Linked DNA regions of Yarrowia lipolytica. The protein of the gene in region 4 interacts with the protein of the main gene of each other region in a biochemical or structural test. Links are inferred from orthologs where the notes say so. Each region holds a gene or a part of one and is shown on either strand. Other genes may lie near its edges.

Region 1 (8,675 bases), on a different chromosome or scaffold from region 4:
CAGATTCGCTGAGAGATACTAGAACAACGCCAGTGGTATCATACCCATATGGTATACAAAAAAGTCTGGTACCATCTTAATCCTCTTTATCTCCTCTTTCCAATGATACTACTTATACCGCCAAAATCCCACCATGTCTCTTGCGTATATCACAATTATAGATTCCCAAAATATATCAGAGACACCTAGAACAGAAGTAAAAGTATTTATACCGCTCCACACCCCTTCACCTAGTAATTATCTTCTCTCCTCAATATCATCAATACACCCCTAAAACACGCCGACTTTATACCCCCTTCATATCAACTCATGTATGAAAGCGTAAACGTGTTATTAAAGCTTCTCCTACAATAAAGCCGAATCAATCGTGTTTGAGACTTCTAAAAGAGACCAAACCAGCCCGCAGAAGCAGTATATCACGTGATACCTCATATCTTCACGTGCATGCAACCGCGACCCCCTTTTAAACCCCCCATCTCCCCCTTATCGAACCCTAACCACCTCATCTCATCATGCACTTCGCTTAACACAAGCTGCGCGCTTGGCGCTAATTTCGAGTTTCAATATATCTACCAGCACAGACAGATCACGACATGTCGGATCAAAATCACGTCGAGCTGGAAAGCTTGGCAGAATCGGACGACTACCAGGTTGAAAGCGACAACGACGATGGCGGACACGTTACCCAGACGTTACTGGGCAACAATCCCGGGTTAGCCGAGGTCACGGCTGAATCTGAGAAGTCCAACATGAAAATGGCATTTATGAACATGGCCAACTCGATTATCGGCGCCGGAATCATCGGCCAGCCCTACGCCGTGCATGAGAGTGGTCTTATTGCGGGAATCCTGCTACTGGTTGGTCTGACGTTCCTGATCGACTGGACGATTCGACTCATCGTGGTCAACGCCAAGTTGTCAGGTACAGACACGTATCAAGCCACCTGCCGCAAATGTTTTGGTAAGACCGGTCTCATTGCCATCTCTCTGGCCCAGGGCTGCTTTGCATTTGGTGGATCGATCGCGTTCTGTGTCATTATCGGAGACACTATTCCGCATGTTCTGGGAGCACTTTTCCCGTCTCTTCTGGGTGGTGAGGACTCGGGACCTTCGATCCTCGTCAACAGACAGTTTATTATTGTTATTTGCACGTGTCTGATCTCTTATCCGTTGGCTCTGAACAGAAATATTGCCCATTTGGCCAAGGCCTCGGCTTTGGCTTTGGTATCCATGCTGGTCATTGTCATTCTTGTGATTGTCCGAGGACCCCAGCTTGCTCCTGAGTACAAGGGCACTTTTGATGGACACGCTCTGAGTATCAGCCCGGGACTGTTTCAGGGAGTGTCAGTCATCTCTTTCGCCTTTGTCTGTCACCACAACTCTCTGCTGATCTACGACTCTCTGAAACGACCTACTATGGATAGATTCGCTACAGTTACCCACTGGTCTACCGGAGTCTCCATGGTGGCTTGTCTGGCCATGGGAGTGGGTGGGTTCGTCATTTTCGTCGACAAGACCAAGGGAAACGTTCTCAACAACTTCCCAGCCTCTGATGTCATGGCCAACGTTGCGCGATTCTGTTTTGGCTTCAACATGCTCACCACCCTGCCTCTGGAGATCTTCGTTTGCAGAGAAGTCTTCACTACATACTTTTGGCCTGGCGATGAGTTCAAGTGGATTAGACACATTGTTACTACCACGGTGATGATGCTCACCGCCATGTGTGTTGCTCTGATCACCTGTAACCTGGGTGTTATTCTAGAACTCGTCGGAGCTACCTCAGCTTGCGTCATGGCATATATCCTGCCTCCCCTGTGCTATTTGAAGCTGACCAAGAACAAGAGTCTAAAACAGAAGGCTCCTTACTATCTGGTGGCAGGATTTGGAGTGCTAGTCATGCTCTTCTCCACCATCCAATCACTGCTGAAGATTGTGAATGGAGAGGAAGAGGGCAGTCATTGTGACGTGAACTAGTCCTAATATGACCAATTATTGTCCCCTACGGGTACTTGCACTGCACGACCACTCAAAACATCCAAAACAAACCAATCAGACCTAACCATATATCCGCCGTCTGATCACATACAGACAACACCAAAATCACTAAAATAGTCAATATCAATGTATTTTATTCAGTCCGCGAGCTCTACACATCAAAACCAGCCATTAAGTGTTAACCATTTTCCTACATGAACATTGCCATTCATCATCATTCTCCTGGTATCAGCTTCCAACCCTAGAATTATCAAATCCAGTACTAGTACATCTTCTGTCTCGCCTTCATGGCCTCGATTCGAGCCTTCAACTGATTAGTAACCTCTGCAGCACGCTGCCACGACTCCTGAGCCTGAGGTCTATATGAATCCCGTCTGTCAGGAGATAGGGCACGTGACACCGCCGACTCACGTGTACCGTAGTCATGTCCGTTTCCTCCCAAGTAGTCACGTGATCCGTTCCCAACACCGAAGTCCCGAGAGCCCCGGTTACCGACACCAAAGTCACGTGAGCCGCTGTTACCTCCATGACCAGGCCTGAATTCACGCGTGCCGTTGCTTCCCGCATTAAAGTTGTTTCCTCCGCTTAAGTCACGTGATATTCGTCTGTCTCCTCCAACTCTCTCACTCCCTCCTCCTTCCCCACCCAACGACAGCTCTCTGAACGATGCCTCAGCGTCAACAGAGGGTGACATCTCTCGGGGTTCTTGCTTCACAGCCTGAGAAGCAGAAGCAGCAGTTTCCAGCTCAGAAATCCGCTTGTAAGCAGCCTGCAAATCCCCCTGCATCCGGGAGAACTGTGTCTCTTTGCTCTTGAACGAAACAGCGTCTTTGGTGTGTTGTTCTAGAATGTCTGCCTTGGAATGTTGCAGAGAGTTGATCTCGTCAAGCAATCTCTGCTTCTCAGCTGCAAACTTTTGCTTTTCGGCCTCAAAAGCAGCCATCAATGTCTCCTTCTCCTTGATCCAAGTTTCCTTAGCGGCTCTCAGCTCCTCTAGTTCCTCAATATCTGCTGAGGAAGCTGCTGGTCCGAAAGAGTCGATACTCGGGCTTGCAGGAATCTTCTTGAGAGGTTGCTTCATCAACCCAGTTCGAGATTGGCCGTATCCTGAAGACTGACCATATCCAGATGACTGAACTGGCTTGCTGTCGGTAGATCCAAATCCAGAAGAAGGACCGGCATTGGATCCAGTAAAGGGCTTTCGAATAACACCTCCACCGGGTCGAACCAGTTTCCGTTGACCAGGAGTAGCCACAGAAGGACGTTTGTTAGATGCAGAAGCAGAGGCAGAAGGAGGAGGAGCGCGAGTAGCAGGCTTTGGGGTAGGCTTGGCCTTGGGCCTAGCCACCACTGTTGCCTTATCGTAGTACTCGACGATTTTCGTCTTTCGGATATCGTCAACGCCCTTGAAATGCTGCTCAAAGGCCCGTTCTCCAATCAGCTTTCGAGCAGTACCAAGAACCTGCATGGAAATCTCTCGGACAGGAGCCTGGGTATCAGAAAGTGTCTTCAGAACCGCCTTGATCACATGATCCAAGTCCTGGTCACTAGGATACTCCTTGATAGTCGACAAAAGACGCAGAATGAAGTTCAGAGACTCAATCCGCACCTGGGGAGTCTTATGGGACACGAACGGCAATGTATCTTCCACCACCTCGCCAAAGGGGAGCTTGCAAGCAATAGCATCGAGAGCTTTGCCCAGTGCTTCAGCCACAGAAGCTTTTTTCTCCTTCGTTCGCTCCAGAACAGCTTGGAGAGTGAATCGGTATCGTGCAAACGCGTTACCGGGCAACCCATTCGCCACTGTCTCGATACACTGAGCAGCCACCTGCACACATTGCACGTTGGCATCCTTGTGAACCACCTTAGCCATAGCTCTGAGAAGTTCTCCGTAGTCTCCCTCCTGTAATTTGGGGCCTCCGCTCTGAAGTACAGGTAGAACTGCCTCCAACCCCTCCTTTCGTTCCTTCCACTTGGCTGATGTAACTTCTGTGTAAAAGTTTGCTGGAACCTGAGACAGCACATCCTTGGCTTCCACCAGAGCCAGAGGGTCCGAATCCTCCTCATCACCCCCATTGTCCACATCCATCTCGTCGGACTCGATTCCGTTGGCCGAAGCTGTAGAAAGCACCTGTTGTTGAGATCTGAGAAGTCGAGCTTGGGTAGGTTTTCCAGCAGCTGCGTTAGCAGCAAACTTCTCATCGAGTTCCTTCTGCTGTACAGGTTTGAGGTTCCAGCTGGGCAAAATTGCGTCCATCAGAGGCTGACCATGCCACTTTTGAACCTCAACAATGAAGTTCATCGCCTCTGCTCGCACATTCTTGTCTGCATGAGTAAGCAGCTTAGGAAGAGCCTTGAACACGGGCTTAGGGTCGATTGTCTTTCCAAATGCTGCGACCATGTCCACCAAACACTTCAGGTTGGCAGCGATCACCTTGGGTGTTCTATGGCCCAACAAAGCAACAACATCCTCCACAACAGGATCAGGGACGTCCAGTTCAATGTACCATAACAGGGATTCTGTAGAAGAAGTTTTTGTGCCTGCTCGTGCGGAAGCTAGTCCCTTTTCAGCAAGAATAGGAACCACTACAGACCGTGTTCTCAAACAAGCCTGGGTACCTCCAAACTGAAGGAAGGCTGCCAAAGATTGAATACCTTGATCCTGAGCAACCACGTTCGTGTCACCGACAATCTTCTTGTACAGCCCAGGGTTGTCGAGGAAAGGCGCGAAAATGGGGTCCGCTTCGCTTGGAGATGTCGTGAACTTGTCCTTCAACTCTTCATAAGCTGATTGTCGCGCTTTCCAGTTCTGAATTAGTAACGCGGGGTTTGGGAAGGGGAAAACACGTGATACTCACCTTGTGGACCATTCGGTCCATCACCGGAATCGCATTAAAATCTTCTTCTTCACTCATGTCGTGTTGTAGCGATGTCGGTCGTGTTACGGGTATTAGGGGATGAGAACTGTATGCATCTCAGTTTACATGCGGTTACCCCGGCAACGATGGGGAGGCAAATAAGGTTGGCTAGCTGGGGTTCGATTACGGGAGTTGTTCTATACTGATTATAGTAGGAGAATGTATTAATGGAACATTACTGTCGGTTAACATAGTATTTTTGTGTAATTCCCATAGAACCAGTCTATATATTGTCGACATTCCCGTTTTGACCACGCTTGTCTTTGGATGTTGTTTAGACTGGTTGTGTGTTGTGGTTCGATCCCCAATTGGGATGGAAAAAAAGGGACTCAGCTAATGATAGGAAGGTACATACTCGTACAAGTACAGCTGCTGTGTTGGTACTCGTAGGAGTAACAACATTATGTAGCTGTAACTAATATACGCCAATGAGCTTGGCTTGAGAGCGGGCATGTCACATGGACACGCGCGAAGTATACGCGCTCAGAACACGCGTTGTTGTCTAAATCTGGCCTGAGGGTACATGAAAGATGTGAAAGGTGAGTATGTACTACTTGTAGTAGATATCAAGTACAGTATGTACTGTACAGTACAGTACCAAGAGAGTGCTCCAAGAACTCTTATGATAGTAAATACGGGGTAGTTTAGAAGTGGTTATCCATGTAGTGTTACGTAGGTGGTTTGAGGGACTTGGTGTCTCGAGGAGCTTGGAAAGTTGACAGATTGTGGCCCATAAAATGAATTGTAGGTATACCCTTTTTTCTAAAAAAGATTCGGAGGTGTAGAAACATGCCGGCTGATAATACTGCATACCGTCTCGCATGAGTCTATACAGCAGCTACCTGTCCTAAACTTATGGCACGTATTTATCGCGTGTAGCGTGTTTCCTCTGCTTCCGTGCATGGAACAAAATTGACGAGTGGAACTACAATTATCAAGAGTAAGTATTGGTGATGCAAACGGGCAAAAGTTGAAAATGTAAGGGATTGGCGAAAGATACCCGTAACTACTGACATGCCATGGTACAAAATGGCTCTATAGCCATGTTCAATGAAATGATACCTCTTCCTCATCATACTATGTAGCATACATTATGATGACTTCGTTATGGGTCAGCTTTCCCTGAATTATGGAAAAACCGGTATATCTACTGCCATCAAGTCCATCCCATTTTATTTCATAATCATCAACTCAACATGCATCTTCATTTTTTCCTAGGACTGGCTACCACAGCCTGGGCCATGTATGAATACAACGAGATCATCCCCTCTCGACATCGGGTTTGCAACCCCAACGAGCTGGGCTTGGAAGACTACTATGGCTTTGTTGTTCACCATCAAGTGACCGTTTCATCTTGGCCCAATCTGCACCATACTCGAGTATCCGAGTGTGAAAACTCGTATGTTCAGCAGCACGATTTGTACCATCCCAACGAGCCCGGCCAAGATACTGTGTGGGGCAAGAAGTTGTGTTCCGTTCACAACAACGACCACACTCGATGTTTCATGATGGCGCGAAGACGCCGATACGCCGGCCTCAAGTACTCTTTGTTCGTCCCCAACATGTGGATTGGTACTCTGTTTGAGTGTGACTGGAGAAACCCCAAGGACCCAGAGTGTATCAACCCAATCCCCATGCGACCTCTCATCTCCGACAATCTGGTATTAGCCAACTGGTACGAGACCCCTGATGGTTTCAAGCACATGGTTCGACGAATCCCGATGTTCTACACCACCAACAAGGGCCATCCCGTTCCTGCAAACTGGAACAACTCAGTAGATCCCTGGGAGCAGTACACTTACAGCTCCAACGAGGAAAGTGTCTTCAGCAACGTCGCAACCAATCTGCAGTCCTGGTTCCACACTCTGAATCGTATTGGACAGCAGGAACCACTTGACATCGATGAGGGGGATGGACGACCCCGACGAGGTCTTTCCGCTCCTATCGACTTGTCGTACAAGAACGCCTTCCATTGTTGGGATGATGTTCGTAACGTGTTCTGGAAGTGTCCCCCTCCCAAGTGGAAGGAAGAGATTGATGCTGAGAAGCGAAAGAAACCTGACTACCATAACAGACTCATTATGCCTATGCCCATGCCTCCTCTTGATCCCCCTCGAGAGCCCAACGACTTTGATGATCCCTTGGGTCTTCCTAAGTCTCGACTTCCCGAGTTCCGAGATATTCCCGGAATTATCGATCGAGGTAGAGACGCGTATGATCCCTTCTACGATCCCGTTTTTGAGAAAGAGAGAGCAGAATGGCATAAAAATAACCCAGCTACTACATACCCTGTCATGACTGCTGAGCTCCCTATTTCCACAGTGGGTCCCTCCAACCCTCTCAAGCACTCATTCAATATCTTTTCTGGACTGTTCAAGCCTCGTCCTGTCATCAAGGAGGAAGAGGAGCTGGAGGAGGAAACTTGGGGCTTCTTTGATATATTCCAGCCCAAACCTCGACGAGGACAATCCAGTATTGGTCTCATGGACAAAATTCTGTACGGAAATCTGCCTCCTGCTGCACGTCCTGGAGGAGCTCAGACAAGTTACACAGGTGGATACCGAACCTATGATCAGAATATCGGAAGTCTAGTACCTGTTATCCGACCCACAACCACTCAACGAAAGCCTGGTGAGTTCGATTTCACTCCTCTCCCCATGGAGGATTGGATCTCTCTTTTTACCCATGACTCCAAAGCTCCCGGCACTCCGGTAACTACTAGTCTTTCTGTCAAAACTGCTACTACCTCTGTTGCTTCTACGGTGTCTTCCAACAACACTATGCCCATGGTCACTCTTTACAAGGCCAAAAAGTCTGCGCGCGTCCACAGTCCAACCACCACCGCTTCTCAGTCTTACGAGGAGATTCGATGGAGCAAGGAGATGGAGCGTCGAAAGAAGGAGTATGAGGAATATAGACGACAGTTTGGTCCAGGCTACGAAGAGCTGCCCCCTAACAGTGGCCACGAGTGGACGGAATATTCTTCTTTTATTGATCACAACAGGAAGACGTTTGCTCGCAAGGAACAACGCCAGAAGGAGATTGAAGAGATGAAGACTCGGAATCGACAGAAGCGAGACGATCTTGATGAAAAACAGTTCTTCCTCGATGAGCCTGTCTCTGTGGGTGAGGGACCTATCTTCTATTCGGTTCCTGCTGCCGACCAGACCCTCAATGTGACTGTTCCCTCGGTTGAGGATCTTAAGAATCCAGCTATGATTCAGCGACGCTCGTTGTCTTCTCGGCTGGAAATCACTCTCACTGATATGATCGACACATTTGATGCCGTTGGTGAGAAGAAGTATCGACAGCTGATGAAGAACGTCCTCAGTGCTTTAGAAAGTATCGAGGATGTTTAGATTTTTATTTAGCATTGAAAAAAACGAAGCGTTGGTAGTTGTACTGGTACTGGTACCTAAGGTAAAGCGATCCCTCAGCCGATGCCAATGAACTCGAAATCGTGTGTACTGTGTATCATATCGCCATGTACTTAGTTGATGTTTATGTCACACCGGGTCAGTAAAACTACAACCACTTGTACTGTAAACGGATACACATATACAATGGGCGCCTCTATTGTAACCAGACTACACTTGGCACATCATTATCTTTCCATTCACCACCACATACAATCAATCCTTTAAACATCGTTCATTGTTATCTAAATCCTACATGCATTACTTCTGCTCCCGGCCATGGTAAGGGTGGTTGACAAAGTTGAACCAGGGGAAGATGAAGAGACCGGCAATGGAGTGGGCCGAGT
Region 2 (7,710 bases), on a different chromosome or scaffold from region 4:
CACCGGCACAAATTGCGTGTTTTCAATGTCCACAATTTCGCCATGGCATCATAGCAAGGTTCCGAAGCCGTCTATACCAGTGTAAACGTTGTAGTACCCACGATATCACTCCGATGAATGTTCCGATACTGGTTTCACGTCCCGCTGATTCTATCTGCTGCACCGGGTCTTGTCCATACATCTTGTGTGCTGAAATTCGTCCCCAGATAGCACCGGCAACAAGCAAGGGTCCGAATCTAGCTTCCGACGTCGAAAGTTGACTCGACGCTGAAACTCGACGGTGGAAATTAATATGGCTTGCATCTCTTCCCTTTGTTCTATTGGCCCACCGTTGAACTAAATTCAACAAAGAAGTGTGGATGGATCTTGTCATGGAAGCTAGACCTCATCGCCCAGGAGCAAGAGAAGAGCAATTACCGTAAAGATTTCACCAGTAGAAAGGTCTCGACTTGAGAAATGTAATGATACCATATATAAGCCCCTCAATTTACCGCTGTATTCTCTTTTCTGATGGTGTCCTAGTTCTTTTCGCAACTGATGTTCCAACTCTATCCAGAGCCATTGATGCCGTGCCAATGAACCTTCCTAGGTGCCAAGACACTTGGCGGCGTCGGGACAATTGGTACTGGCTCGTCATTGGAGGCACCAGTATCAAAATGAAGCCATGAGTTGACTCACGTGTTTTAGCATTGTTTGATTTCCCTATTTCTTCTCCCATTTTCCCGGAATTCCCCTATCAATTCCTCCACCAAATCAATTTCCCGCTAATGCTAAAATGCATGTATCATGCATGTCCCTGCGCAGACCAATGTAGCATTGTGATGCCGTTTGTGATAAGAGATGGGGGTGATTTACATATAAAAGTCACGTGGAAAGTACTCATTACGGTGCCACAATGTTTGATCAAGAGACTTCCCTTGTGAGGATGAAGACTTATCCACTTTACAAGCCTTAGTAACCCTTTTACTAGTCTCACCCCAGAGAGTCAGCTCAATTACAACTTCTTATTCAGTATTACGCCATCTACATGGCTCATTTCCTAAACTTTTCTCTCCACGAATTGGTGACTAACACTGCCACAGTATGAGATGTATCCTTGGTCTACAGTGAGTACATACAAGACACTCGATGTCATTCATAGTCCCTCTCAGGCTCGTTGGGCTCTGATTTGGGCCATGCTCTCGAATCTGGCCATTATTGACTTGATATCAATCATCGACTTATTCAGAATCTCGTCTGCTCCAGATGCCTCTGGTTAACCAGGCATGCTGTCTACTATAGTGCTTCAGTATTTCTGTAGGTTGCGTTTGAGACATGGTTCAGACACCTGTGACTTGTCTCACGAATGCTACCATGACTTCACGTATTCGGTCACCAGTCATCTCCTGCTTTGTTTCACCATCAACAGCTTCTGTCTGTTCTCTTCTTGTACCTGGAGTACCCCCAGTTCCAACATGTTATGTCTCTCTCACGGTTCAGGGTGAGACTAGCAAGATCAGTTAAGGCCTTGTAGCGAAGTCATCTTTTGATGCAAGAGACAAGATTGTTCAGACTGCAGTCCATCTCTTTGAACTCTTTGGGTCTACAGAACTCTTTGGGGATTTTATCCCGCCTGTTGCACCTCGAGAGTAATCTATACCGTAGACTCATTAATCGATTTCCAGCCCGTCACAGCTACGTATCAAGGACAGGATTATTGAGAAGCATTCCAACCCCCGGACCTCTCATATACCTGTGTAGTTATCATCGGCACAATACCAGGAACATACTATTCACACGGCAGTTTCGTGGCATTCTCTCGTTTCACGTCTCTCGCTCGACAAGCTACCGCTCTTAGTCATCGAATCCTCTACAACAGCTGAAAGTCTGCTCAGCTTGAAAACTGATCAACTTATGAGATTCAATAAATAAGCAGAAAGATGTAGATTGAGTCATTCCCCCTTCATCATTGTTGCATTGTGGCATAATTATCATCAATATCGATCCCTGACTGTAGGAAAAATCGTGAATCCTGACAAAGTCCTTCAAATTGAGGATTCCCCGAAGAATTTTCGGGTATTCCATCGCTGTACAAGTACATAGTACCTGCTGTAAATCTGCTGTTGAAATATGCTGTATATGTTCACTTCTGGATGCTGGCTTTTTCCGTCGATTTTGTCGTATTCGGTTAAACTGGAACTTAATTAACACCTTATAATTACAAGTAATTGACTATCTCGGGGGGATTTGAGATAGCCTGGGAAAGACTGAAAGAATCGATTGCCTTGGAAAATGCAGCTATTTTGAATCTTAGAGTGTTATCTCCTTGTTTCGGCTATTTAAGGAGTTCTAGCAATCTTTTGGAGTCATTACTTCCCTCTAGCATCTTTTTTGGAGTCAACTTTTGTCTTGATGTGGCATTGTTTACTGGAAGATATGAGACAAAAGGTCAAATGAAAACTGATTGACATATACTATACATCGTTCTACACACATACCCTTGCTCCATTTTGGTCTCCATTTGTTTCGTGTAGAAACAATTCTTTTGGATTGAGGTCAAAACGTGGATTACAGAGCCAGTCCATTCCTGGAGAACAAACTAACAAAGCGCTACTAGGTAGTCGTAGAACCATCTCCACCAACGGCTTTATTGCATAATTCGTCTTTCATAAACTTGAAAATCGTTCATTTTGTCAGACTGTGACTCGGAGATTTGTCCAGAATCTGATGTTTTCCAATCTCCACATCATCTGTACATGTTATTCCGAATTCAGGCGCACTAAAAGTGTATAATAATGATATTGAAGCTACCTGATATACCCACCCACTTTCCATCCTACTGTATCCAAGATCTAGAACCCAAGAAACCTGATGTACCTCCCTATAATTTACCAAAAACCTCCCACACCATTTCACTGGCAGCCTTCCCCACACCCTTAACTTGTCCTCTTGTCAGCAACTCCAAATAACCCTTGCCATGAGACTCCTCCAAATCCCTGTACTTGTCGATCAGATGACGAGGCGTAGGAAACAGCTTCTGGATAACCTGAGCCTTTTCAGCCGAAATACCATTAATGGTCATGAGCATCTGAATGAATAGTACCTTGAGGGAATGGTTCGACTTCAGATTCTTGTCCTGCCAGGCCGTCAGCATCATCGTCGAAAAGGTATCACGAGATTTAGAGAAGCCTCCAATCTCCTTGGGCCCTATGCTCAGAGTGACTCCCTCGTAACACATCTTCACAGACTCATAAAGACTGGCCATGTAGTCACAGCTATCCGCCACACTCTTGGTCTTCTTCAACAAAAACCCATCGATAGCCACCACTCGCCCCAGAATACTGGCAATGGCCTTATCACGGATCTGGACCGCAGCTCGGGACATGGAGAAATGTTCCACCAAATAAACAACGTTCTCGACTCCACACTTGCGTAGCCGACTCTTCTGCTCTTCGTATCTAGAGTCCACAATCGATGAGTTCAAGTCATCGTATCTCTTTCGCTCAATAATTGTGTTCAGAACGGCGATTTTCTTGCTAGTTTTGTGGCGAGCTGCAAACAAGAAGTCGCCCAGATACAACACTGAAGGAATTACTGTCACGTTCTTCTGACTCAGTCCGGAGATGGCCTGCTGTGCTTCTTCTCGGTTATTTTCTCGTTTGTCTACAATCAGAACCACCTCGTAGGATGACGGTTCCCACGTAACTTCAGCTGCCTCTGTTATTGGTCGTACCACTCCTGAATGGCGTAGTTCCGCTGCTGCCATTGTTGCTCCATCACTCATGGGGACGACGTGCACGTCCATATCTTCGTCGGCTGAATATCGATTCAATTTTGTCACCTGCTGCGATGAAGCCAGCTTGGATTTATCGGAAAACCCCTGGGTATCCACCCTCTTTGCTGTCTTTGGTCGCTTTTGTCGTTCGATTTCCTCCCGTAACTCTTGGCCAACCCGCTTCTCTTGGGTGGAGAATCTCCTCAACTTGTTGGCGAGGTCTTTTCCAGCTGGCGTCAAGCTGTAGGTGTATGTCGAGTTCATTTTGGAAGTGGTGACGAGCCCCTCGCTCTTCAGCTTTGATAATCCACCCCAGGTTTTTCCAGGGCCCGTGATGTTGAGAACCTGCTCCTTAGTCGTGGGGTTGGGTATACCAACTAGCGCTACTAGTAGATCATGTGCAGCAGTACCTTGCTTGGGGTAAAAGGTGCTGGCAGTTGCTACTGCCATTTGTTGTGGTGGTGCATCATCGGTCAGATCAACTGCATCAGTGAGATCAACGGTGGCTATGGAGGAGTCTGTGCCATGCAGAGGATCTGTAAATCCACTTGTCCCTCTTCCAGCCTTGCCCTTTTCCCGTCTGATTTTTTCCACCAGCTCCTCGTGTTCCCTCACCACTGCATCCTGAGCAGACTGCTTGATCCGCTCTCGTTCACGTGCTGCTGTTTCTTCCTGTTGTCGCTTCTCCTCCTCGGCCTCCTCACGCGCCTTTCGGCGTTTATCCAGCACTTTGCCCCAGCGTGTTTCCAGCACACCCAGCGACTTGGTGTCGACGTACTTCTTGAGATCGGCCACTTTGAAAATAAGCGGTCCACCCAGCCCTTTCTGCACACTTCGCAGCACCTCCAGCTGTTCCGAAAACAACCGCGCCTTCTTGGAACTGGCCGACACAGACTTGGCGAGAGAAAGATCCGCCTCGGTGGCAGCAATCAAGTCGTTGAGAATGCTCTTTTTGCTCATTTGAGATTGATGTATAAGTGAGTCGCGTTTCGTGTCGCGAAAATCATTTAGGCGTTGGAGCTAATATTATCAAGGTTTCAGTACATACTGTATCAGTCTCTGAATCATGGCCAAGTGACATGGATATTTCCTCATCCTGCTACATTGAGATACACGCACTGGTCTGTGTATACTTTTGCCCCTTCAATTTGCTACAGTACTGTACGTTTTTTAGAAAATGTTTTTGTTATTTCTTTTATAGTAACATAATACATTTATGTTTGTTAGAGCAAAACATCCTTAACAATAACGTCCACTAATCATACATAATTACTGGCGTAAATCTTAAAAATACTTGATAAATTTATTTAATGCAGAAAAAATAATGTAATCATGCATAACTCAACAAACGTTTCAATAACCCAGACTCGTGTGTATGGGATCTCTTTCCCCATAGATAATATCCAGTACTTTTGAACAGCAAACAGCCTCCCCATCGACTTTTAGTGAAATTTTGGACCTGTGATTCTAGACCAACCCAGCTCTCAAAGTCACGTGAAAGTCTCAACTCAACCCCCCCCCCCCCTTTTTTTTTTTTTTTTTTTTTTTTTTTCATAACATGAATTTCTTGTTTCACCAGTCGCACAAGTTGGACATATTTTTTCCCATTACAACAGCCCAAGACGGAGTATGGAAACACCAACTCAACACCGAGAGAGGATGGAGAGATGGAAATTACATGACCATACTTCACAGACCGGGGGTTATTATTATGAGTTGATCTGAAGTCTGCAATATAAAACTGCCCACGTCATTGAGACATTCGACATCTGTAAGCTACGTTCATCTTTCCATTTAATAAACACTGCTGAAAACAGCTACAAATAATTATAAATACATAAATAATCGAGCCGGGAGCTCATGCAAATTATTCCAACACAACATCACTGTCATCCTCGTCGGCACACTCAAACACGCTGGTCAAGTCGAAATCGGGCTTTCCAGGACCAAGCTTCTTGTTGCCAAACTTCCACATTTCCGTCTCGTCCTCACTGCACACTAGCCACAGCTGATGATACGCAACATTTTCCAGATCCACAATCAGAGTCTCCCAGGAAGATCGTCTCGCAGCATCGCAGACTTGAGCTTCTCGTCAAATCCACAGCAGTAGGGAACCGCTGAACACTGAAATCCGGAGGCAAATCGGGCAGTATCCGGCCACCGGAGGAAGCACTTTGAACGAAGTCTTGTCAATGGACACCATGTCGGGATCCATACTGGACTCGCCATCATCCTTCTCACATTCCATCGAAGTCTCGTGGTCCCTGTCCCAGAAGAGCGCATTGACGTTGGAAAAGCTCACGTCGATGACGGAATCGTCCGTCTGACTGGTCTCAACCGAAAACTTGACCTCACTGTGCTCATGACAAATCACAGCCATGGAGAATCGCTCAATTGTAGCACCCGGGTTTTCGTCTGGTCTCAGAAAAATTAGCTGAAAGATTCGCAATGTCGACACCTACACGATGGAGTGGAAACAGCAGGGCTGTGGCATACGTCGTAACGCCTCTTCCAGCCAACTGCACAGGCGACTCAATTCCAAGTCAGAAGACTAAGAGAAACGACCAATCCGAGGTCACTACTGCTGGAGCGGAAGCTGCGACTGACAAGAGAGGATGTGTACTGAATCAAAATCCAAGACAACATCAGTTCCATACTAGAGAAAGCTCAGTCTTGCTATCCCAAATCCAAGGAATATGAAGCCTCAGAGAATAGTCAATCACCAGATACTGTCGCCGTGGCGAGGGTTGGGAACAAGGAGAAGGAAGTCCAGCTGGAACAGAGTGAAGTTGATGTATTTTATTGTGAGTGTTAATGAATAATTATCGAAACTTGTGAGAAATAGGCGATGAGCTATACACAAGTGTACAGTATTTACACTAGCAGTGCAAGTATTTGGTAATTGAATACTTTCATTCGATTTGGAATTCTTGGGATATTTAGTCAAGCATTTTTCGATATGCTATGTTTTTTTCTGTTTTTTTTCTTTTGTTTTTTTTGTTTTTTGTTTTTTGTTTGCTTTTTTTGTCGTGTTTTCCAAATCTTTTGGATATTGGTCCAGGATTCCAGCAGTAAATTAGAGGTCACAAGTGTAGTGACCCGAGGCGTTACAGGAGAGTAGGGGGCAATACCATGGCCCATACAGAACAGGTAATCGTCTGGCCATGTCCAGGGGCAGAATGATCAATTCCCACCATTCTCGTCAGAGAAGTTGTGACTAGATTACAGACGGTACACTATATATATTGTATTCTACTGCCAGAAGTAATGTTTTGTAATGTTATAGCATTTTAATCAGACAAGTAAGTACTCGTGCAAATACCAACCTGGCTGATTTGACATTGAGGATCTGGTTCCCAAGGATGGGCCACCCGAAAGACATCCAGATCCAGTTCTCTGGCGTGTAAAGTTTACGGACTGTCATTTTACATCAACCAGCCTAGACCCATAAGGGTCACCGATTCCAAGTCTGTACCGTACTTGAGATAATACAATACTTGTAGTAGAACCGGACAGCAAACTTGTCGACTTGCTGAGTTGGTTTCAACGACCGAATAAGGAACAATTAATGTCGATCAGAAAGTAAGCCAACAGTTCAATACATCTCTTTTTCTCCTGTTCATCGTCGTCTTTGGCGGCTGTATGCACTTAGTTGTCAAATCCCACCAAGTTCCAGGCCGTTGGAAGAGCCAGGTCGCTGTTCAGTTGCAACCTCCCCCTCTAGAGCAGAGTCGTCCTCCACTTTTCCTAGAGGAGACTCCCTGAGTCTACCAGATCCAAGCTTCTTAGTCACTCGCTGGCCATGTCATGGTATTTAGGTGGAGGACCCTTGTACTGTAGTTATTGGGGTCTCAAGTGATTCTTAACAAGATAAAATTGAAAAATTAAGGTCACCAACAAAATATGTTGAAAATCTGTCGAGTAAAGTGAGGGATTAATGGCACGCCTTTGGATTT
Region 3 (7,403 bases), on a different chromosome or scaffold from region 4:
TGATAGTGGAGAAGGGGACTTAAAAAAGGGCAGCCACGGTTAATATAAGGGCCAGCATGAAAAAAATGGGGTATCTGGGGTTGAACCTTAATTTTGAGACTAGGGGTTCGGGTTTGTGGGGGATGTGGAGGAGATATGGGATTTTTGAAAAGTGCGTTTTGATTCTCGGATTTTGTTATTTTCAATATCGTTTTCATTTTTCAAATACCTCCAAAACTGGGTATTCTGGCTGAACCACCTTTTGGCCAATGTGGGGTCGGCAGGACGTCATCACCTCGGCTCGGTACTAACTTTATTTGGCCTCCAGATTACATGCTTTAACACATGGCAACGGTAACGCACCGACGTGGAATGATTGGTTGTGGCGATGAGGAGTCAGCGCGGAAGCGACGAGCGCTTAGTAATTTGGTCACGTGTGTGCTATTTGACAACGCACCCCTGATTAAGTGTGGAGTTCCCAAATATCCGCGCTTTTAGTCGCCCCAAAAATTGCCACCACTATTCCCAATCCATGTTACCCCCCCCTTTGAAATAAACTCGTCGGGAATTTCAGGACAGCACATGAAGGTTCGGCACACACATTGCGCATTTGCGCGGGGATAAGTCACGTGGAGAAAATAAGACGCATGTTTGGACGCAATTGGGGCGAAAAATGGGGGATTTGGTGTTGGAAAAATCAGGAAAATTGGGGGAAATGGGAGGAAATGGGGAAAATGGGGAAAATTGGGAAAATAGAAAAAAAACAGGCAAAAATAGACAAAAAATAGACAAAATAGAAAAAAAAGAAAGAATAGAAAAAAATAGTGGCGCATGCTGAACAGTCACGTGAGTCCATGGCGAGGGCAGAAATGCGCAGTCACGTGAGCTGCATCTCAGCACAGAAAAAAAAGATAACACGCTCGCAATTTCCCGTTCCGAGTCTCCCCAGCACCGTTCCGACATTGAAACTCGTTCCATTGGCCAAACCATGTGATTCTAGGTTCTGTGGGGGAGGAGGGAATGACGTGGCAAAAATGGACTTGGACCTGGAGAATGAGTAAGCAAGGAACATGTAGCTGATTCGGCGCTGAATTGTTCTACTTACGTGAAATTTCGACGGCGTTCATTTGCGTTACTCTATCTTCGACGGCCCAGTCATATGTTTTATCATTCTCTTTTTGCGTCTCACTTAACGCCAACGGTATTATGTTGCAGTCTAACCTTTTCGCGCAACCGAAAAATAATGTCAATATTGTCGGTTCATTTTGTTTTTTTTTCAATTATTTTGTTTTTGTTCGATCTGATGTTCCCCGTGTTCTCGATTTAACGTTATTTATATAAATTTTCCGAAATTCAACGTGAATCAAAATAATTCAAAAAATCGAAATAAATCAGAAAAAATCAAGAATAATATTCCCCAACAACAACTACAAATAGATTCGTATTATTCCGTCCTGCGGGGTGACTAGCGCAGATAAATCCGCTAATGCATGACCACGTCGTGGATTACTCACCCTGATTACTGGCCATCATGCAGACAAACCAGATTCGGCGTTAGCGCTTTTAGTGCACGAGGCTCAGATGGTGGCTTATTAAGCAATGTGCGTCTAGTAAGCGACGTAGCTTATTAAGCAAAGATGCTTACTCAGCGGAGTGACTACTAAGTGACGAGACTTACTAAGCGGCACTGACAAGGGTACTGCAGAATCACATGTGTGGAGAGCAGCACCTGTTTTTGTCTCACGTGACTGATCACATGACCAAACAAAAAAAAAAAACAGAAAAAGCTCCCCGGCACCCTTCAACCATACGAGTTGTGTGCGCGTCCTTCTCCTTAGATGACGTAATTTAAGTGTGACCAGTCACATGACCACCCCCTTCACCGCTTCTTCCTGTATCTCACGTGACTGACTGGCTGGTCACGTGACCCCCACCATCACCCACTGCTCCCCCATCTCTACTGCGTCTTAGATGCATTGATCATGTGTAATGAACTTTAAATAATAAAGGTCGAAATTTCGAGGGGAAAATTGGACAATTTGAAAACTGTTTGAAATAGAATGTCATTATTTTTGCCTTATTCAGCTGACTCTGAATCAGTCTTTGAAATTGTGTTGTCGTCCTTAGTCAGCATTCTGGAGACCCCCCGTTGCACTGTTTGCACTGTTTGGACCATGTATAATTGTAAATAGGGGTCAAAACAAACAATGCGAGGCAGGCTGTCTGTGTGGCAGAGGTAATGAGCGACTGAAATGATTAGTCACAGGACGCGAGAGGGGTGGGAGTTATGTAACTAAAGAATTTACTCACGGGTTTTATATCTATCACGTGACCCTGCTCTCCCGCTCACTGCTAAGCGCTTACTCAACACCGGATCCACCTAGCAACGGGCCCATGTCTCGGTACATAGCGTTCAACGGGGAACCATAATGGTCATAACCATAACACGAGTGTGATTAAGACGAGTTGGATTTCCAGACAGTCAATTGGTCTGCTGGAAAGGGAGTTAGTAAGACGGCGTTACGTAATTGAACATACTCCCTTGATACGATGACTAAGTTGAGTGATCAAGCCCCCATTTGGGCTTTGTCATCAACCTCCTGATTTTTTTTTGATCTTGACACTGTTTGTATTTATACAAAATATAGTTTGGGTCTAAATGTGTTTGTGTAGTTTCAAATTTCAATCACATTTTATTGACGCTGTGTTGGGATTATTATTAATATAAAACTACCATTGTAATTCACTCATTTCATGCTACAAAATGCACTTTTCAGAATCGAAAAATATCCAGTCAATCGTCCCACAGACCCACAGTTTTATTTATAGGGTTAGGGCTTCCCAATACGGCTCGTCCCAAACATAAACAAGCCCGAACCTTATCAGTTCACTAACAAGTATATGTGTAGATGTTTTTGAGATCTTCTTGAGCAGAGTCTGTGGAGTTGTTTGTGCGATAGAAGCGAACGTTTGCACCATTACATTTTTGTGCGTGCCCATCACCTTGTCCTTGTCGTCCCCACCACATTGCCAGTGTCACCACTACATTGCCAGTGTCACCATTACACCATCTAGGTCACCCCAACTACAACACCTTCACCACCTTCATTCCTCCACTCCACACTACGATGAAAAAAGTGGAACCAATCGAGTTCCTCAAGGACCGGGTCTATCTCGGAGCATATGCGCACACCCCCAAGGACACCGAGACGACCGTCTACTTCACGGTCGACGATGCTCTTCCCTACAACCCGTTTCATCTGGATTTCGGGCCTCTGAATGCCGGTCATCTGTACCGATTTGCGGTTGCTCTTCACGAGATTCTGGCGGAGAACGAGGACAAGGCGGTCATGTTCTACTCGTATCCTGATCCCCGATACCGAGCCAATGCCGCCTGTCTTCTGTGTTGTTACATGGTGTTGATCCAGTCGTGGCCTCCTCATTTGGCATTGGCACCGATTGCACAGGCGGAGCCTCCGTTCATGCCGTTCCGCGACGCCGGCTACTCGACTGCTGACTTCATTCTCACCATCCAGGACGTGGTCTACGGGTGCTGGCGGGCCAAGGAAAAGGGCTTTTTGGACCTGCGCCACTTCAATCTCGACGAGTACGAGCAGTATGAAAAAGTGGACCAGGGCGACTTCAACGAGCTGCCTCCTCATTACATTGCGTTTGCGTCACCGCAGCAGGAGGACTTTCTCACCCCGCTGGACCACGCCTTCAACAACGTGCTCGACTACTTTGAGACCCACAACGTGCAGCTGGTGGTGCGTCTCAACTCGATTCTGTACGACGCTCGTCAGTTCGAGCAACGCGGAATCAAGCACGTGGACATGATCTTCGACGATGGCACCGTGCCCACCATGGACATGGTCAAAAAGTTTGTTGGCGCGGCTGAATGCATCATCGAACAGGGCGGCAAGATCGCCGTTCATTGCAAGGCCGGCCTGGGCCGCACGGGGTGTCTGATTGGCGCCCATCTCATCTACTCCTACGGCTTCACCGCCGCCGAATGTATTGCCTACATGCGGTTTCTGCGGCCAGGAATGGTGGTGGGCCCCCAACAACACTGGCTCTACCTCCACCAGAACGAGTTCAGAGACTGGAAACGAACCATGGTCGTCAGCGATACCCCCAGCTACAAGCTGGCCAACCTGCGACCCCTGGTGCCCATTGCCGACCAACAGTGCAAATTGAGACAACAATTGAGCGCTCTCCAGGACCAGATCCGGCGCAAGGAGGAACAATTGGGCTCTCTGGGAGCCTCCGCAGTAACCCATGACTCCATTCTGCCGTCAACCCCCCCGCCAAAAACACCCGAACGATCAATTCTCGGAGACATGGACCATTGCAACTCGATTCTGCCGGCCCCTACTCCCGGACAGCCCCGCAAAAACTCCCCCAGTCCGGCCCATCGATCTGGAAGTGTAGGCATTTCCGCCATCCGTCCCAAACGGTACATTTCCACTTCCCATGACACCGTCTACAACTCGGACGAGGAACGAGAAGGCTCGATCGCCTCGGCGCGACGAGTGGTCAGCAGCAGACAAATGCCGTCGCGTCAGCCGTCGCGGTCCGTGTCTGTGTCAGTCTGCGAGGACGTAGAGGGCTCGCTGATTGTCACGGCCTCTCATTCGCCCTCCCGACGACCCTCGCACCAGCAGCAGCTGCGGTCGCCCTCCAAACAGCTGGACTTCGACCAGGAGAACGACATGAAAAAGTCACCATTGAGGGTTCGGAGCGCATCCCGGCGCCAGGCATCGGTGCGACAAGTCAGTGGCGAGACCGGCGTGAGAAAGGTCTCCAGAACCAAGAGGTCGTAGAGATTTGGCGGTATTTAGATGACTGCATGATTTATCCACTGAGATGACTTGGTCACATGACCCATTCAAATGACCCAATCACATGACCCGATCAGATCACTTTGTCATTAACCCCCCTCTCACCCAGAACAGCTATCGGACACACTAGAATGGCATCCCACGCTAACAGATACCACAGTTATATGCATGGAACAGTATGTATGGATTAATAATGAATCACGTAATGGAATGGTCGTGTAGTGGTACACTAAGAGTGCGATACCTACGAGTACTCGTGTTCTGTGGAAGTGTGGATCTCCATGCCACGAACAACTTTTAGTAGTCATTGTCTCGCTTCTTCGTCTCCCGGACCTCCTTCTCAGCCAGATACTGTGGTTGAATGAGATCAACGCCGAGTCATTCAGATCTTTTCAGATCGTTCTCATGCTGTTCGGCTAAGACCCGGCCTTTGGAGAAGGGCGTGTTCAGGGGCATGTGTGTTCTCGTGCTCGACGAGACGGTCAACCTGATCGAAGGAAAAGGATAGGAAGTCGGCATCAAGTACGAGTACAAGTACTGTACAATACTCGTAGCGAAAGTACCTGACTCTGCGGACCCAAGAGTTGCCACACACCAACAGGCAGATCGAGGTGTTGAGCAGTACCCTGCCTTTGACTTGGGTATCACCCTGTCTTCACCATCAGACAGCCCTCAAGGGAAGCTGATGTGAACGGAACTGGCCTCGAACTGGTCGACGTACTGTTGAACATTAGTCGCGTATTACTTGGACCCTCAAATATGTGAGCTGTGTCCAACTAATGAGCAACTAATGGCCGCTTATCCGCTGCCCCAACTAGCACATGTCACGGCGGAAATCGCCCATTCAGCTGTCGACAGAATTTTTCATTCTGGTTTTGCGATGCGGTACAAGGACATGGACACGTGACTTCACCATTGCTCCTGTACCCCAGATGGTTGTAGATGACGGAGTTCTGGTTGTACCCATGGTGGCATCTGAGCGTATGGGTAGATGTCAGAAGAGAAAAAATATTTAACATAAAATAAAATATAAATACAAATATAAAATAAATATAAAAAACCTATTCTCTTACACATTACTCAAGATGGTGACACAACGGTGACACAACTGACACAAACAATGCCACAAACAGACCCAAACGACACCACAGATACCCCCACCCACCCAGTCTCAGACACAGATAGATATGACACAGATACCCTCGTCGTAACCCGATACGATATGAAAAACAGAAACTGACACAGATACTTGTACTACTATCATGCAGTCTCGGTCACATACACATCTCCAGCTGACTCTGTCGGGGTACCGCATGCGACCTTGATATGATCCGGTTACTTGCGCTTTCCTGGAACTCTTGCTACGCTCCAGTTCTGCCACTTTTTCCAGCACGGTCCCAGCCAATGGTCTCCATATAGTCACCAGAGCAGGGTTTGATGGTGTAGGAAGTGTGGGTGGACGAGCGTTGCGAGGTAGCGGGGGGCGCGAGGGGAGCGAAGGGAGTGAGAGTGGATGTGGACCGTTGGTTTCTCACACTCGGAGCTCCCTGGCCAAGTGTGAACTCCTGTGACCTCCTACTGAGTCGCTTGCCTACTCTTTCCGAGTGGATGCCACGCCCATTCAGACTTCTGTCCGGCAACCCCCGGTTATTTCCTGGGAGCCGCTCTGGATGGCCAAAGTTGATCATTAGTCAGCTAATACCATACCTGGTTATTACTCATCAAAGTTCCCACCAGCTACTTGACATTGTTCTGTCTTAAGGTCCTACTACTGTGCAGGTGGGATCTGACGCCCGCCAGATGTCGGAACAAGTGGTGTGTTTGCAGTTATGAGACTCTTGATCTGTCGATTGTTTTGAGCAATGTCGAATTCTCAATCTATGACAAAAAGCAGATTTCGTTGTTTTTTGTTGATTTATTCTTCTTTTCCTTTTTCTTTTCTTTTACTGGGAATTCCCAAAAACCTCATCACATCTCCATCCAATTTAACCGACACAAGAGAGGGATATCATGTTCGCCGCACCCCATGTTACCCTGCCGACGAATGTACAGTATATGTGCAACGAATATTATTCCAAATGGTCTGATACGGCCCGATACGAGGTTTTTTTTATTATTATTATTTAATTTTTGAGGTATTTTACGGGGTATTTATTTGTGAAGTGGTGATTTACAGCGGAAAAAAAAAAGTCGAAAATGGGGAAGGGGGGTCCCAGCCAAAAAAAGAGTGCCGTCTAATTGGACCAACTGAAAGTAGAAATAGAAACACACAGCCCCACTGAGCTTGCGTACTGGTAGCCTTGCGAGTTTGTATGTATGGTTTGTGGGATGTGCAGATGAGATTTCATTTAGTGGAGTTAATTAAATCATTTAGGAAAAGGAAAAAATGGAGGATTTTTTCCTCTAAAAAAGAATTAAAAAAGAACATTGGAAAAAAAAAGAAAAAAAAGAGAAAAAAAGAAAAAAGAAAAGAAAAATCTAGATGGGGATAAAATGGGGTGGGTGAATGGAAGGATTGGAGTCGGGTCGGTTTCTGATGGTCCGATTGATGACTTGCGAGTATAAGAAGGCAACAATCTCAGC
Region 4 (7,794 bases):
TACCGGTACAGTACCATAAGTTTTTGTCAACCCATCGTCCGTGGACCTAATGTTTCAGCTTACCACATTGAGCAGTCTGAGATCATTTCTAGCGTCAATCATGTATTCCAACGGTGGGATCATTCGTTTCAAATTAGTTGACTTTAGTTGGGAATTAGTTTAACTGGAAATTCTGCTGGGGGTTCATTTTTAGTAATCCCAAACGCTGACAAGGAAAAATACAATATAATTAGATATTAAATGTACTACTTTTTAACAGATTTTCAATATCAAACCCTTACATCAGACAATTTCCTAAGATTATTGTTGTTTCGATATCCAAAGCTAAGTGTAACTTGGTGATCATTCATAAACACCACTGCCAGGGAGATGACAAACATGACGCTATAACCTGGTGTAAGCAACATTGCCGTCTACTACACCTGTTCAGCAAGCTCTCGCTGTGTTGGAACCAGCAGATACGTCAAACAGACTACACACTACAAGCACGGTATCGCACACCCGTACTGGTGCTTTCGTGCTGTATATACAGACTTCGTAGACAAGGCCTCGCATCAAAATGTCAGACAAGGCGAAGGTTGAAAATGAGATGCACTTTATTGTTGATTAGCTCACATTCACCATCGAGGAGATGTACCATCGAGGAGGAAATGAAGCAGTGTGAAAAGCCGATGTTTTGTCAAATTCACGTGATCTAGCCTACTGGATCTAATCTAGGGGCTTACTAATCACATTGTTTACATTTCAGCCCCAAAAATCCACATTCATCTCCACAAAATAAACTTTGACTTGTTGTGAGCACTGTACTCCCAAGACTCACATCTAAAACATCGTCAGTCGTCCCTAACTCGCCTCACACAACCGGAGGGGCTTCCGGCGGTTAATTCCTAGAACGAAAACACTACACCCAGCACTGTGAACACAAAAACCACCCTAATTATCCTCTATACTAGCTCCCACGGCCAGTGTTTACAAAGACCCGGTTCTCTTGATTAGGTTAGGGTTGTACAGTATGCGGCTACAGCTGTAAACATAACATTGATCGGCGGACGGTGTCAAGGGCCCGATGTTGGTGCGTGGGAAACTGATAGAAGCGATACCATAGCACCTTGTACTGTACAGGGAACCTCTGGGAGTATGTAGGGTGCTTCTAAGGTGTATCTACAGAGTGTTTTGACAGAATTGATGATTTGGAAAGTGTTGATTTTGGGGCAGAATCAAACCCGGAAGGTAGATAACAACACTGCCAATGGACTCACCAGAACCACGACAGTCCATTGAAGCCCTTTCCACGCCAATTTGACGCAAATTCACCTTCTTCAACCTCATTCCTTCTGTTGTTTCGATACTATGTTGCTGTGACAACCCCCGAACCTAATGCCCAATATGGCAATAACCCAACTGAAGCCGAACAATATAAGCACTGGGCCATGGCCTACCACTGAACACACAACACTACATCACCATCTTGACACTCGGTCACCAATTACCCAAAAAAATAAAAGAAGATGTTCAAGCGACCAGATCCCTTGAGGCCTCTGGGCAGCGAGCATCGAGACAATGTCGTCAACCCCATGAAGCTGCGGGCAGGCAAGGAGAACAACGACGCCTATCACAACAACAAGTACACCTCGGAGAACCAGCCACAACCAACAACCCCGTACTACACCGGCAAGGGCAACTACTACAATCCCAGCAGCAAGCCCGCCGTGAGCAGTGCCCATGCTGCTGCCGCCGCTGCCGCCATTGCCCCTACAGCCTCCTCCAGAGCTCCCACAGCCGCTACTCACAAGACTCCCCGGAAAAAGGAAAAGCTTTCCAGCTTGTGCAAGACTCCTCCTTCTCTCATCAAGAGTCGAACCGGCGACCACTTCGCCCGGGGCTCGTGTCTGGGCGAGGGTGGTTTCGCTAGATGTTTCCAGGTGAAGAATGATGCTGGCAAGACCTACGCTGCCAAGACGGTGGCCAAGGAGAGCGTGCGCAACGAAAAGACGAAAAACAAGCTGCTGGCGGAAATCAAGATCCACAAGTCGCTAAAGCACCCCAACATTGTCGAGTTCGTCGACTGCTTTGAAGACGACCACAATGTGTACATTCTTCTGGAAATGTGCTCCAACCAGAGCATGATGGAGATGCTGCGGGCCCGAAAGGGATTTACCGAGGGCGAGGCAAAGTACTACATGGTGCAGATTCTCGGCGCTATCAACTTTATGCACAGACGACGAGTCATCCACAGAGACCTCAAGCTCGGCAATATCTTCCTCGACGAGCACATGCATGTCAAGATTGGAGACTTTGGACTTGCTACGGTTCTGGACAAGCCCACCGACCGACGGGTCACCATCTGTGGCACCCCCAACTACATTGCTCCCGAGGTTCTTGCTGGCAAGCATAAGGGCCATTCGTTTGAGGTCGACATTTGGTCTGCTGGTGTCATTCTATTCACCATGGTCACAGGTAAGCCTCCATTCCAGTCCAAGGACGTGGAGACCATCTACCAGCGAATCAAGAAGAACGACTGGAAGTTTCCCGCCGATCTTCCTATCAGCAGCGAATGCAAGGATCTTGTTCGACAGATGCTAGTTGGAGATCCTCACCAGCGTATCAACCTGGCCAACATTCTCAAGCACCCATTCTTCTTCACTGACTTCCCCGCCTCCATTCATCCTCAGGCTGCTAAGCTGAGACAACCTGAAACCCGAGTCAGCTACACTCAGTCACACAAGAATTTTGAGGCCATCAAGATTGCCGCCAGACTCGATAGCAGACACCTGGCACCCCGATCGACATCTCCTCCCGTCACAATTGAGCGTCAGGACGTTGAGGCCGACCAGCCAGCCAAGATTCTCCCCCAGTCTCTGTCTCCGGCTTCCACCAAGGAGAAGTACAAGATGGTTGACGTCAAACCCGATCCCCAGGGTCCCCAGGCGATTGAAGCCGACCGGCGAGTCATGGAGAACGTGCCTCAGTCTATGAGCCTCAAACCCCAGAATCAGCTCTTCAAAATCTTTCATGAGGCACTGGACAGGCAACTCCGAAGTGGACCCTCACACCACAACTCCAGTGGCCGGGCAGACGAGAAGACCATCTTCATTTCCAAGTGGGTGGACTACTCCAACAAGTTTGGATTTGCCTACCAGCTGTCGTCCAACGTCGTCGGCGTTCTCATGGAGCAGGAAAAAACCATTCTTATGGACATGCGGTACGAGGAGCATCTGTTCCAGGTGGTGATGGAGCAGGAGGCAAAGGACGTGGCCACCCGAAGCAATCCCAAGAGCAACTGGTCTATTGACACCTTCACGAGCACACAATATCCTGCCGAGCACAAGCACCGAATCAAGCTCGTCAAGCAGTTCCACAAATTCATGAACGACCATCTGTGTATGGTGGAGGACGAGAAGGAGATTGGCCTGGACATGGTGTGGGTACTGAGCTGGCAGCGGTCGGCCGGATTCGTGGTCTTTCACCTGTCCAACGACTCGTTCCAGTTTAACTTTGAGGATCACTGCAAGATGGTCATTAGCCACTGTGGTCAATCCATGATGTTCATCGACGACGACAAGATGTTCCACCACTGGACGCTGGACGAGGCCTGCATGCACGCAGGAGAGGGACACTGGAATCTTCAGGAAAAGTTGGTGCGTGTGTACCAGTACTTTGAGGGTCTCCTTAACTAGAGAGGCTCAGAGACTCCGCGCAACAATTGTTGTGTCATTAAATTAGCTAACTTAATAATGCATGATACCATAATATTTGTGGGGAGAAAGTAGGGTGTCTATATCGAAGTTTTCGTCTGAAAAAAGTGGAATCTGTCTCATTCATGTGGCGAATAATGAGGAGGCTAAAACAAGGAAATGCTAAAACGGAATAATCATTTGGTTCGAAAAAAAAAGATTACAGCACCCAGGATTCTCGTATGGTTCTTCCACTTACAATACCTAACTAGGCTTTTCTGGTGCTTGACTATGGCTTAATCGGACGGGAAGCCGTATTTTCACCAGGGATATGGCCGGAAACCAAAGACTCGATACGGGGAATCGAACCCCGGTCTCCACGGTTCTCAGAATGAGAGCGTGATGTGATAGCCCCTACACTATATCGGAAGGTTAAAACAAAACCTTATTGGGTCAATAGAACGTGATATGAAGACCACGTGACCATTTTTGATTTGTCTTATTGCGAGAGCCTGAGAGGATCTATGAGAATAAATCCAGTGTGGGGTTGTTAAGAGCACTTTAAATACATGCCTTAGATATAAACATGACTGTTAGAGGAGTGTTGTTGCTGGTATCATTGTTGTTGCTTTTCATGAAAGTGACAGCTACAAGTCCACAATGGTGAAAACTAATATCCCAAGTAACAAATCAGTTATTTATTAAGAGAGTTAGAATTATTGAAGAATCGTAGTTATAACCTGCAGTACGGTATGCACTATAAGAGTATACAAAGCATTATCATTAGCAATTTTGGCTGTTGTATTTTGTTATATTTACCAAGAGAAAGCCTCTTCATAATAATCGACCTTGGTACAATCCGTCGAATGAACCAGAGATAGTCGGATATCGTCGTTGAGAACAGGAGGGCCGCAGACCACCACAGCTGTAGTACCAGGACACCGTTCGACGTAGGCTGGCATTTCAGTAAGCATATCGGGTCGTCCATAGATGATATTGAGACGAGAAGAGTTAGTCAGTGAAGTAGACTTTTCAGAGTGTTTGGAATCAGACTCAGAACCTGTAGAAGCCAGAGCATTGGCACCACCGCCACCGGTGATATAGAGATTGACCTCGACTCTTGTATCTGCCAGAAGAGTGTCCAGTTCGGTTTTGAACCAGGTGAGACACGTATCATTCCGCACAACCCAGGTGAAGATGAGGTTCTTGGCTGTACTCTTTTGAATGACATCCACTGCGTACGAGTAAGTGGCAGTGATACCGATTCCTCCAGCAACGTAAATTGAGGAGTCGTACTTTCCAATGGGGTGCTTGGCACCATAAGGCCCCTCAATAAACGTTTTCAGTCGCCTGGATCCTCCACCTTTTGCCAGGAGGTTGGCTAAAGATAGAGTCTTGCCTTCTTTGGCCTTAAGAAGCACCGTCATCTTACCAGTCTCCAGAGCATAGGGGCTTTGATAGACGGTGAACGGGTGAGACTCCCAGAACTTACCGTTGAGAATGTAAATATAGACGTGAACTCCAGGGTAGATTTTCCACCAGTTGGAGTACTCCATCTCGGCCTTGACAATGAGCTGGTCTGAGTCCACAAGTTCAAAATCTCCTTTAACAACCCCTCCTGACCAGATGATGCGAGCGATTCTTGCTGCTCTGTCAAACGCCCAGACGGCAATAGTAGCGTAGACCCACTGCATCCAGCCAAGAGTAACACAGTGATACCACAGTCCCACAATAAAGGCCACAGCGAGGATGAGGTGGATGACAAGAAAAGTCTCGTACCACCTAGACCGGAAGAAATGCAAACCTTGGAACAGAATCAAAGAGCCACAGATGGTAGCTACTGTTCCCATGATCCAATAGAACTGTGAAGCTGCCACGCTGAAGAAATCTCGTTGGAGATACGAGTAACAAATGGAGTGGATGACGGCATACAAAATCATGACTCGAGAGGTCCACCGGTGGTAGATGTTGAAGGTATCGAAAGACCAGCCTGTAAGCCACATGAAGAAGTTGTTTCTTCCTCCAAACAAAAACACAATGGGTACCTGGGTGAAAGACATGATTCCAGTTCGGTCGGCAATGTATCGTGCCAGCTGGTCTCCATGGGCTTTCCAGTAAAAGTTGGGTGTGAACAGATTGTACTGAGTGAACAAGAAGATGAAGGCCATAATCAGGTATCCAAGGACCACGAGAGCCTGCATTCGGGTAGGAGTACACATACTGATGAAGCCTCCCAGATATCCTCCTGCAGGCTGGCAGTGTTTGTATCCCCACAGAGCAGGCATAGAGACATGTTTTCTGAACCTGTGACCCTTGATTTTCTGGTAGAGTCCGAAAAAGGCATGTTTTCCGAGATTAGAGGCCATTCCAACCAGAAAGATTAACATCCACCATGAAAGAAGACCAGCTCCGTAGTAGGTTCCCAGATCCAGTTGTTTCAGGAATTCATGCACAGTAGGAAAGTATTCATCATAAGCAGTCTGATTGAAAGCGACAGGAGCATGAAGAACTGCAGAGGTGTTCTGGTTGGATACGGCATACTTGGTTCCGTTCTCGTAGACCTCCATCATGTCATCCATGGTGAGGTTGAGCATTCCCCGCTTGTTGTAGATCTGGATAATGTCCTTGTCCAAAGCCCGCTTCCATTGCTCATCATCGGGAAGAACGGCACGGTACCAGATGGCTCGAGTCTGAATGAACGGCTTGTTATCCCATCTCGATTGGTAGTAAGCTGCTCCAAAGCCTTTAACAGGCTTGAAATCAAAATTGAACTTGCCAGTAGCTCCCTGAACAGTACTGGTGACGAGAAGGACATGATCACCAGGATGATCTCTGTAAGCAGTTACCAGGGTGACCAGAAAAGCAACGGCGAGAAGAAGGGTGAACTTCATGTTGGTTTTGACGCTCAGTAATCGATCTGCCCTTCCGTCGGCCCCTGTACGACTTTATAAACTGACACAAGTATCCAAGCTCTGGGCGTCACCCATTCCCGTCTTGGCAGGGCCTCCGAGGCTAGGCGCATGCCAAGACAAGGCACCGTGCCTGTCCCCTGATTTTATCCTTCTCCAGAGATTCTTTTGGGTTTTTCAGCTAATCAGATAAATCAATCTTTTCCATCAATAGGATTAGATCGTCATCTCAACCTTGTGTATCGGATGCAACATCGGAACCACGGAACTGAAAATGAACATTTTTAGCGAGTTATGTAAGAGTATACAATTGGGGGGTTCTGCAATATCTGTTCCGGGTTGACCTTGGTGGTCGAAGCAGCAACAGCGCACAATGGTCAATAATATACTCCAGTTGGCACCGTGGTGAAGCTGACCGCATCCTCCGTACACACTACTATACCAATCCCGGTACGTACACACTGGCTTCAGTGATCCTCGCAATTTTTTTTCAAATACTAATCAAACTAAGATGTGATTCAAAGCATCAATCCACATGACAATGTCCTACTTGCAAGTCCCTGGCTGATGGACATGGTGCCAATGCAGTTGATACACACACCAGGGATGATTGGTGATTGGAGGACACTTGTGTGTCATCAACCTGTCACCAGACAAAATTCACCGTCCGAAATCTTGAAAACATCGACCCAAAGAAGTCTACTACTCACTTGTAGTACAAGTACATACTCGTATCGTACCGAATGTACCGAAGTTGTGCCGTATATAACCTCCTCGTGCATTGTCTCAAGTGTACTGCGCCATCTACATGTATGTATACACCTTGTTTTGTAGCTTATTTTTTTTTTTGGTTCTCGCGACTCAAAAGTTGCTCATCAATGGCGCATTCTGACTTTTTGGTAAGATCTTGAGTGGAAGTAATGACTTTTGGTGACCAGGGATGGAACCTGAGACACCGATAGAGATACATATATAGATACAACTCTGGGTCATGACTGGTACTGTGGGTGTGAACCGTAAGACCTCCATCAGATAACATCGTGTGAATGACAGGACTGAGGAGGGCAAAATTCAATCGAATATTACCTTTATACTCAATATACAGCCAGATGGTGGTTCTTGTTTATGCCTCACCTACGGCCAATCGTCTCCATTACGCCAATTTGCTCCGGTCGCTGCTGCATTATTTCCCATTGAATCAATCGTACGAC

Evidence for each region.
Region 1: the proteins of YALI1_D34395g (region 4) and YALI1_E33527g form a complex in vitro, tested with the Saccharomyces cerevisiae proteins (2 studies listed by BioGRID, with this or other methods). The link is inferred for Yarrowia lipolytica from reciprocal best matches to the Saccharomyces cerevisiae genes CDC5 and STU2.
Region 2: of the proteins of YALI1_D34395g (region 4) and YALI1_C20953g, one has a biochemical effect on the other in vitro, tested with the Saccharomyces cerevisiae proteins (2 studies listed by BioGRID). The link is inferred for Yarrowia lipolytica from reciprocal best matches to the Saccharomyces cerevisiae genes CDC5 and MUS81.
Region 3: the proteins of YALI1_D34395g (region 4) and YALI1_E19201g form a complex in vitro, tested with the Saccharomyces cerevisiae proteins (2 studies listed by BioGRID, with this or other methods). The link is inferred for Yarrowia lipolytica from reciprocal best matches to the Saccharomyces cerevisiae genes CDC5 and CDC14.

Annotation. Positions count from the first base shown.
Region 1 is NC_090774.1:3,347,957-3,356,631, forward strand, and holds YALI1_E33527g (uncharacterized protein), read right to left. Parts: upstream 4,910-8,675; coding exon 4,853-4,909; intron 4,804-4,852; coding exon 2,257-4,803; downstream 1-2,256. Other genes in the region: YALI1_E33485g (uncharacterized protein), read left to right, coding at 594-1,973; YALI1_E33540g (uncharacterized protein), read left to right, coding at 6,109-8,271; YALI1_E33570g (uncharacterized protein), read right to left, coding at 8,590-8,675.
Region 2 is NC_090772.1:2,090,642-2,098,351, forward strand, and holds YALI1_C20953g (uncharacterized protein), read right to left. Parts: upstream 4,715-7,710; coding exon 2,861-4,714; downstream 1-2,860. Other genes in the region: YALI1_C20964g (uncharacterized protein), read right to left, coding at 5,622-5,817, 5,878-6,134.
Region 3 is NC_090774.1:1,917,038-1,924,440, forward strand, and holds YALI1_E19201g (uncharacterized protein), read left to right. Parts: upstream 1-3,107; coding exon 3,108-4,802; downstream 4,803-7,403. Other genes in the region: YALI1_E19172g (uncharacterized protein), read right to left, coding at 1-197. UniProt on the Saccharomyces cerevisiae protein: Protein phosphatase which antagonizes mitotic cyclin-dependent kinase CDC28, the inactivation of which is essential for exit from mitosis. To access its substrates, is released from nucleolar sequestration during mitosis.
Region 4 is NC_090773.1:3,437,986-3,445,779, forward strand, and holds YALI1_D34395g (uncharacterized protein), read left to right. Parts: upstream 1-1,508; coding exon 1,509-3,677; downstream 3,678-7,794. Other genes in the region: YALI1_D34446g (uncharacterized protein), read right to left, coding at 4,490-6,565. UniProt on the Saccharomyces cerevisiae protein: Protein kinase required for the cell cycle where it is involved in mitotic exit. A component of the fear (CDC14 early anaphase release) network which promotes CDC14 release from the nucleolus during early anaphase. Phosphorylates SCC1/MCD1 and NET1.